2 linked regions of the Oryzias latipes genome follow. The protein of the gene in region 2 purifies or fractionates together with the protein of the main gene of each other region. This does not show direct contact. Links are inferred from orthologs where the notes say so. Each region holds a gene or a part of one and is shown on either strand. Other genes may lie near its edges.

The links. Proteins that work in one complex are often made in the same cells at the same time.
Region 1: the proteins of H/ACA ribonucleoprotein complex non-core subunit NAF1 (region 2) and nhp2 purify together in Homo sapiens (affinity purification with western blotting; 3 studies listed by BioGRID and IntAct, with this or other methods). This does not show direct contact. The link is inferred for Oryzias latipes from reciprocal best matches to the Homo sapiens genes NAF1 and NHP2.

The regions. Positions count from the first base shown.
Region 1 is NC_019872.2:3,233,595-3,237,348, forward strand, and holds the start of nhp2 (H/ACA ribonucleoprotein complex subunit 2), read right to left. Parts: upstream 2,742-3,754; 5' UTR 2,638-2,741; coding exon 2,484-2,637; intron 2,389-2,483; coding exon 2,319-2,388; intron 1,145-2,318; coding exon 1,039-1,144; intron 1-1,038. UniProt on the Homo sapiens protein: Required for ribosome biogenesis and telomere maintenance. Part of the H/ACA small nucleolar ribonucleoprotein (H/ACA snoRNP) complex, which catalyzes pseudouridylation of rRNA.
Region 2 is NC_019859.2:6,670,667-6,674,420, reverse strand, and holds the start of H/ACA ribonucleoprotein complex non-core subunit NAF1, read right to left. Parts: upstream 2,776-3,754; 5' UTR 2,644-2,775; intron 2,263-2,643; coding exon 1,652-2,262; intron 1,520-1,651; coding exon 1,387-1,519; intron 1-1,386. UniProt on the Homo sapiens protein: RNA-binding protein required for the maturation of box H/ACA snoRNPs complex and ribosome biogenesis.

The sequences.
Region 1 (3,754 bases), on a different chromosome or scaffold from region 2:
GCACCTTCTCTTGTGTCAGTGGAAGATGACAAACTCCCACCCTAACCCCTAACTACTAAAACTATTTAGTGCCCTGGATTTTAAAGAAAATTCAGACACAATGCTCAGTGCTTAATATTTTAAATGGCGAATATGACATAATTGATTTCACAAAGTTAAAATCTAATTCATATGAGCGTTTTGTCACCATTATTTATGAGTCCACTGAGTTCTGAAGATAAAAACATTGATGGTTTAATTAAAAAAATACATTTAAATACATTTTCTTTTGGCAAAAATTGTTCTGATACTATGCATTGTGGTCTATATTCACCGACATAGTGAGCCTTGATGCACACTGGTATTTCACAGAGACTTCTGGTAAATTTCTAGGGCACTGGATTTTGTAATTGTAGATTCAGACAGCTCTACAAAAAGGTGGACGCATTATGCAGTGAGTAGTGAAGGAATTCTGACACACCCCAGCAGCAGCAAAGTTAGAAACAGCTGAGAATGTTAAGTACCTGTAACTTGCAATAGAGGCACTTTATATCCATTTTAAACAGTTTAGGCCATATTCTGTAAAATTGTGCTTTTTACATTCAAGCGCTTTGTTTTTGAGAACTCCACCCACCAAAGACATCTCCATACCAGAATGCTGCTACTGTAACCCAAATATACTTCACTGGATGTAAGGAATTTCTAGTTTAGTGTATAAATATATTGGAAGCTATTTATATTTATTTGATTTTTGGTTGTGAGTGGAGATCATCTCAGTATTTACTTCCAGAACTTTCTTTCACAGAATGTATGTCCACCTTTAATGTTCTGGTCTCGTTTGAAAAAATGTGTTTCTCTGAAGAAAGCAAATAAAATTTGAAATATTTCCTCACTTTTACACAACGTACCAGAGGTTTAGTTATAACTTTACTGCTGTCGGTGGTGGTTCACCTTTCAGCAGATCCCTTCATGGATCGCCTCTGCAAATCCACTTTCATTACTGCTATTTTTGAAGTCCTCAAAGAGAGGAACACCTGCATAGGTGCGCTGCTGACTCACCACTTTGGAGGGGATGTAGGCGTACGGCAGGCTCCTGTCCTCACACATGACCGGTAGGTGGCAGTACACCTCGATGGGCAGAGTGTCGCCAGCTAAAACCACGATCCTGTAGAGCAACGACCAATCAGAAAACCAGCTTGCAAGCAATGAAGTCACTTCTGGTCACGCCCCCTCAGACTAAACACAAAAGACTGAGTCACACGGGTGACTGCGCATGTGCGGGGTCAAAGGTCGAGACCTCAATGGACAGCAGACAAGGTGACCGCTAAGCCAAAACGCAGCCATTACGATACATAACCAAAGACAAAGTACAGGTCCATCGGCAGATGCAGTTTGCCGTTGGTGGGTCAGCTAATGAAAAAATAGCAACAAAAAAACCAAAGCAGCAAATACTAGTAAGAACAGACCGTTCAGTGACATGAGTGAGCAATATTGACATTTCTGTCAGCCATGTTTTAGTTGCTTCCTCACCAACCCAAGAGCCTTTTCAATCACAAGAGGATCGGGTTATTGTTTTCTGTCAATGCAGAGAAGTGGCATTCTGATCTGTCAAAGAAACAGAAGAATGTCGTACGCCTTTAGATAGTCCATATGGAATATTTAAGCCTTCTACTAGTATTATAGATCTGGAATGTTTGAGTACTGCATCATGTGGGCCTAATGTTGAACCAGACAACTGTTATCCAGTCCTCAAGTTGTATCATGTCCAATGCTTCGCATGCATACGTCCTTTTTATCATCGTCTGCTGTGGGGATGAGGCCTCTGCAGCACACCTGTGTCGCAGCACACCTGTGTCGCAGCACACCTGTGTCGCAGCACACCTGTGTCGCAGCACACCTGTGTCGCAGCACATCTGGTGCATCGTCGGGCGCCTTTAGTTCGTTAACTGACCGGGCAGATGGTCCTGTTATTTTAACTTTGAATATGTTTCATCATGGCTAGGGTTAGAGACCATCACCAAGTTTGTCGTCCAATGAGGCCTTGACCTTTGACCCCGCGCATGCGCAGTCATATTTGTGAACTGGCCAACATCACTGAGTCGCTTTGACTAAACCCCAACTAAAACAGAAAAGAACTTGGTTGAAAGGTTTTGCAAAGTTTCTCATCATTAAAGTTCTAAAGAACTGTAGCTCCAGACAATAAAATGAGAAATGAAGAGCAGCACAGAGACAAACGGAAATTATCTGGATTCTAGAGAAAAACAAAGGATCCTATGAGAAGCTTCATCCACCAACATGCTTCTCCTCCTCCTGAGCAGCTCCGGCTCGTTCTAACTCACCCTTTCTCTCCCTTGTTGATGAACTTCTGCACCTCCTTCACTCCTCTGCGGATGTTCTTCACTCTGGCAGCTGAAACCACAAAAATGCTCAATACTGTCCTGGTCCAACCCGGTCCCAGTCGGACCCGGACTGATCCACAACCTGGAAACGTCCCGCACTCGTACCTTTCTTCACGCACTTGTAGAGCTTCTTGCTGAGCTTCCTGGAAGCCAGCGGCTGCGCGATCGGGTTCAGGTTCGCGATCAGTTCGTGATAGGAGCGCTCCGGGACGCCGGCGGGCTCCTCCGCATCCAATTTCTCCTTCTTCACCTTCGTCATTTCCAATCGATGATTTTCTGAGCCGAACGTCTGCTAACAACAACTTAACACGAGGACACCTCACGTGCTCAGCTTCCTCTGCTTCTTTTTTCAGACTACGGCTTATCACAGCGCCGCTAGCGGCCGGGCGGTGAAATGCAGCGTGACGTTTCAAAGTTTACATTCCAAATGACTTTAATTTGCTTCTTTCTTTCAAAAATGAAATTGTGTTTAAGTTCTTGTGGTGTTTTTCTCATGATAGTGAAAATATAAAAAGAAAATTAAGATTAAATGTGTGTTTTTGTGTGTTTCTTCTGTTATTTCTTTATTCAAATTGCTGTGAATCAGGAGTAGATGACAAACTTACAGTGTAAAAAAGCTTGTCGTTACCATTGAGAGTAAAATAAGAACTAGACTGAAAAACACCCCCCCACCCCCTCCGTGTACCAAAAAAGGAAGTACCTGCTGGTCCTAAGAAGGCAAAACCCCATAGACTTCTATTAAGAAATAAACAGCTGTTACTCTGTCATTCTATTGGTCAGAATAACCATTCTGGATCTGATAACTTTTATTAAAATCTTATTGCTAATCCTGATTTTTCTCATGGTATTTTTCCTGTAGTGAAAGTTATCTAAGTTATAAACTGACAAATCAGATGCCTTAATAAAAGTAGCGTCAGAAGTTTGAAACGTTTGATTGACAGACCCTCCCTATCCGCTCTCAGTGGAAAGGGGTGTGGCCTTCTAACAGGCTCACTCCTGATTGGAGAGAGTGGTTGCAACAGAAATGTAGACAAGCCAATCACGGCTTACTGAGGTCATCTGCTTCTCACATGGTGAAGGACATATCGCAGAAAAATGGGGACTGAATTGACTTCAGTTGGTTGCAACCAGAAGCAAGGCATTTTCTATGGATGATATCACACGCCATTTATCCAGTTGTAAATTTAACAGTCAATTGTCAAACAAACTGAAATTGATGGGCCACACGCTATGGGGTCAAATTATATGAAACCCATCAAGACGACTGTTGTTGTGAATTTGGGCTATACAAATAAAATTGAATTGAATTGAAATTAGGATCAGGTAAAAAAAAAAATAACTCAAAAGTACACATTGAAAACGCCAAAAGAAATAAT
Region 2 (3,754 bases):
TTCAAGGCCTGTTCACACCGGGACGAATTTCGTCGGCGATTTTCGCCGACGTTTAACGCCTCGTGACTAAACAAAGGGCACCAACGAGAGTGTGCACACCGACGCGAAAAAACGCCACGCGTTAAAGCGTCAAAAAAAAAAAAACGCCTCGGGTTCGTTTTTTTTTTTCGACGTGTCGCGTCGAAATCTACTCGACCAATGAGAATGGCGCTTTTGCTCACGTGTCTGGAGCTTCTGAAGTTACAGTAAAACAACTTGGGGGCGCTCAAACACAAAACTGCCTTGCTGAGCACACATACCAGCGAAGAAGATAGACGCCAAGTAGCGTCTACACACAGCCGCGAAGCAATAATGACGGACATTCTAAAATATCCCCGAACGAAGCACCAGTTGGAGCTACTGGTGCTTGAAATATTCATGTTTTCTTTGTTTGATTCTGACAAGCGTGTAAATACTTGCTCTCTTCTTCTGAGTGAAAAGCGACTTTAAGAAGCATAAAGTTGCGCAGCGCCACCTTGTGTACAGGAGTATTTCTGTTTTACATTAAGCGCCATCTAATGTCAGGGAATGAAATTGCATGTTCACTCCACTCATCGTCAGCGAAAATCGCCTGGGTGTGAACACAAAAAACGTGGCGAAAAACGCTGGCGAATAACGCCTGGCAAATATTCGTCCCGGTGTGTACGGGCCTTTAGAAGATTCTTCTTTAATTTGATATTTTCTTTTTTTCCTGTTCAGGTCCAACCATCTGCCTGTTGCTTTAGGTTGCCCTCAAGATCACTTACTTCCTTTTTAATGCCCTGCAAAATCCGAAAAAAACTGAATGACTAAATAATCTTGGTGAAGGCAAATAATTGGTTGGATAAAACATTAAAAGAAGCGATTTTCCCAATATCTTTTGCTTTTGATTTATTTTGAACCATTGTTTTTGTTTCTGCACTGCCAGCACAAATTTGTCAAGCCTCTTTGGCAATGTGACATCTAAAATATAGACTTGATTTCTAATGTAGAAAACAAAACGTAAAAAGCAAGAACAAAAGTAATGTCTTTAAATCCTAAAAAGCTAGAGTGCATGTTTTATGTTAGAATAATCGGTTATCAAAAATACAAGGTGTTTTTTTCTTTTCTTTTTAAAAGTTGGTTCAATTTAAATGGACGCTCTTTCCTTTCATATCTATAAGGACATTAATAAAGGAACAACGTGATCCACTCGCTTCTTTAAAAAAAAATTCTTTTTGAAAAACTTTTTTTTAAATGAACACTACATCATGCTAGATTATAAATAAATCTAAAAAAAGTGTGAATTTAGCTGCAAATTTAGGGTTATAGAAATGTAACACGCTTGTGCTTTTATTTGAGCTTTCAAAACAAAGTGTCAAGACTGACCTCAAAGCAGATTTCATCTTTACTTTTGACAGGGACCGGCTGGCTGAAGCCTTCATCATCATCATCCTCGAACAAGGGACGGGAGGGCGAAGAGGAGGATGAGGAAGAAGATGAAGAAGAGGATGAACTATCACTGGGGATGGGAAAAAGAGGATTTAGAATCATCTTTATCCCCTTAAAGCGCCTTCATTTCATGTTATATGATGTAAAAAGCAAAAACAAAAGATCTACCACTTCATTGATCTGTGTGTGTGTGTGTGAGTACCTGTCTGAATCTTCAGTCTCCTCTTCATCCTCGCTGTTTTCAACCATACATACGGTCATTGCAACCAAGGATACTGGCGTCTGCTCATCTCTTGTTTTTTCAGGACGGGTCTCTGAATATGGGGGTGTGGCCTTGTTAAGGGTCATAATGGGATTTGCCTCTGGTTTTGCCAAAGAAACCTCCATCTCCTCCTCCTCTTCTTCTTTTTCCACCACTGATAATTCCTGCTCAGTTTCTCTCAATGTTCCATCTTTCTCCTTTTGTTTTAACATAAGTCGTTCATTGTTCACGAGTAATCTCGGCTCTTCCTTCCCTTTTAGCTGCCCTGGTAACACTTGATCACTTTCCCCAATTTTTCTTTCATGCCCCCCTTCTTTCATCTCTACCTCCAGGTGGTTTTCTTGACTTAATCTTTTAGTCTCATCTTCTTCCATCTGTTCTGGTAACTCCAGCCTATTATCTGTCACGGTTGTGACATTTTCTTCCTCTTCTATTGGCACTAATAATTCCTGGTGAAAATCTCCTGTTACTTTTGCATTCTCATTTATCTGCACAGGCAACTCCTGATCTAATCCTTTATCCTCCTCTTCTTTTGGAAATGTTGCATCCATCTGCCGACCAACACAGTTAAATTTGTTAGTAAGTAATGTTAAAAAGCTTTCTTTGCTTAAAAATAAATAAATAAAAAAAATAAAAAGCGAAACTTTACCTGTAGCTGTACATGATCGTTTAAGCTAAGGCTAATAATACGACCATTATAAAACATTACCAAACCTATTTTATCAGAAACCTTCTTTATAAAATAAGAAGACTTTTACAGTCTATTTTTGTTTAACAACCAGATATCTAGCAGATTAGCAACAACCAGTGAATTAGAGGAGCTAAGAAAATAAACGTATAAACAAACAGATTAGCATATTAGCTTGCAAGCTAATATCATGCTGAACACAAATTTTGTTTACTAAAACACAAAAGAAATAATATAATGTTACCTTAAAACTTCTTAAACATTCCAGGAAGGCATAAATTATGCTTCAGTTAGGATAAATGTCGCCTACTTAAACTAGCAACTGAATCTACACTTCAACAATCTTCAAAGCGGAAGAATTCTGAAGCTTCTTCCTTTGCGTTACCTTCAAAATAAAAGTCCAGCGGAGGGACGTTTCAATGACGGAGATAGTTTGGACCTGATCTGAGCGCGGTACAAAGAAAGAACAGTGGTTAAAGACGTTTAAATGAGTTTCAAGGTTATAGTTGCTCGGAAGCATGCAACAGAAATACCTAAATGAACATTTGTGAATGTGATGCGTGAATAAATTGTGATAGTTTGGTGTGAGAGAAAATTAGAATTGAGTGATAGCAAGTGAATTGCAGTGAGAACCCTTGAAAAAGATCAGCCAGAAAAAGAGGTAGCTAGTAATATTATTAAAGTAATTAAAGCTACTTAAGCAATGAAAATTTAACGTACAACTACCCATATTTTGTGTATTCCGAGACAAAATTTTAAAAGTTGAAGACTTATATTTTGAAGATTGTTTCGTCTTTCCGGTTCACATTAGAACTTGATTCAGTAACAGACACGTGTTTGCTGTCGCTGCACGCGGGGCTCTGTTTTTCCGCATGTGCGCGAGAGGGTGCGCAATGGAATAAATCCGGGAAAAAGCTACATTTTAGAGGGATTAAAATTTAGAAATGATTTTCAATTCGTTCTGTTGGCTTGTCTGACCTGTGCTGCACCCTCTGAGATTACGCACAAAATCAATGTTCCATTCATATCGTGGTTTTGCAGATCTTTGTCACCAAACTACCGTTGTCCGTTAAACTTCTTTCTGCTGTTGTTTTGAGCAGCTAAACTGGCTTTTCTGTAGAGACCATAAAGTGAATACATCATTTTTGTTGTTACAGTTACAATAGGTACCAATATTGGTCTTTTTACTTTTACCCCCCCCCCCCCCCCCCCAAATAACTAGATTGAGTATGTAATTTTCCAATTTTTTTTAATAAAGAGAAAATTACAGCTTTTATTAAAGCCAGAAATAGTAAAAACACGTTCAACTATGAAAAAAAACATTGGTTTCTTGACAGGTTCATGAATGAATATCA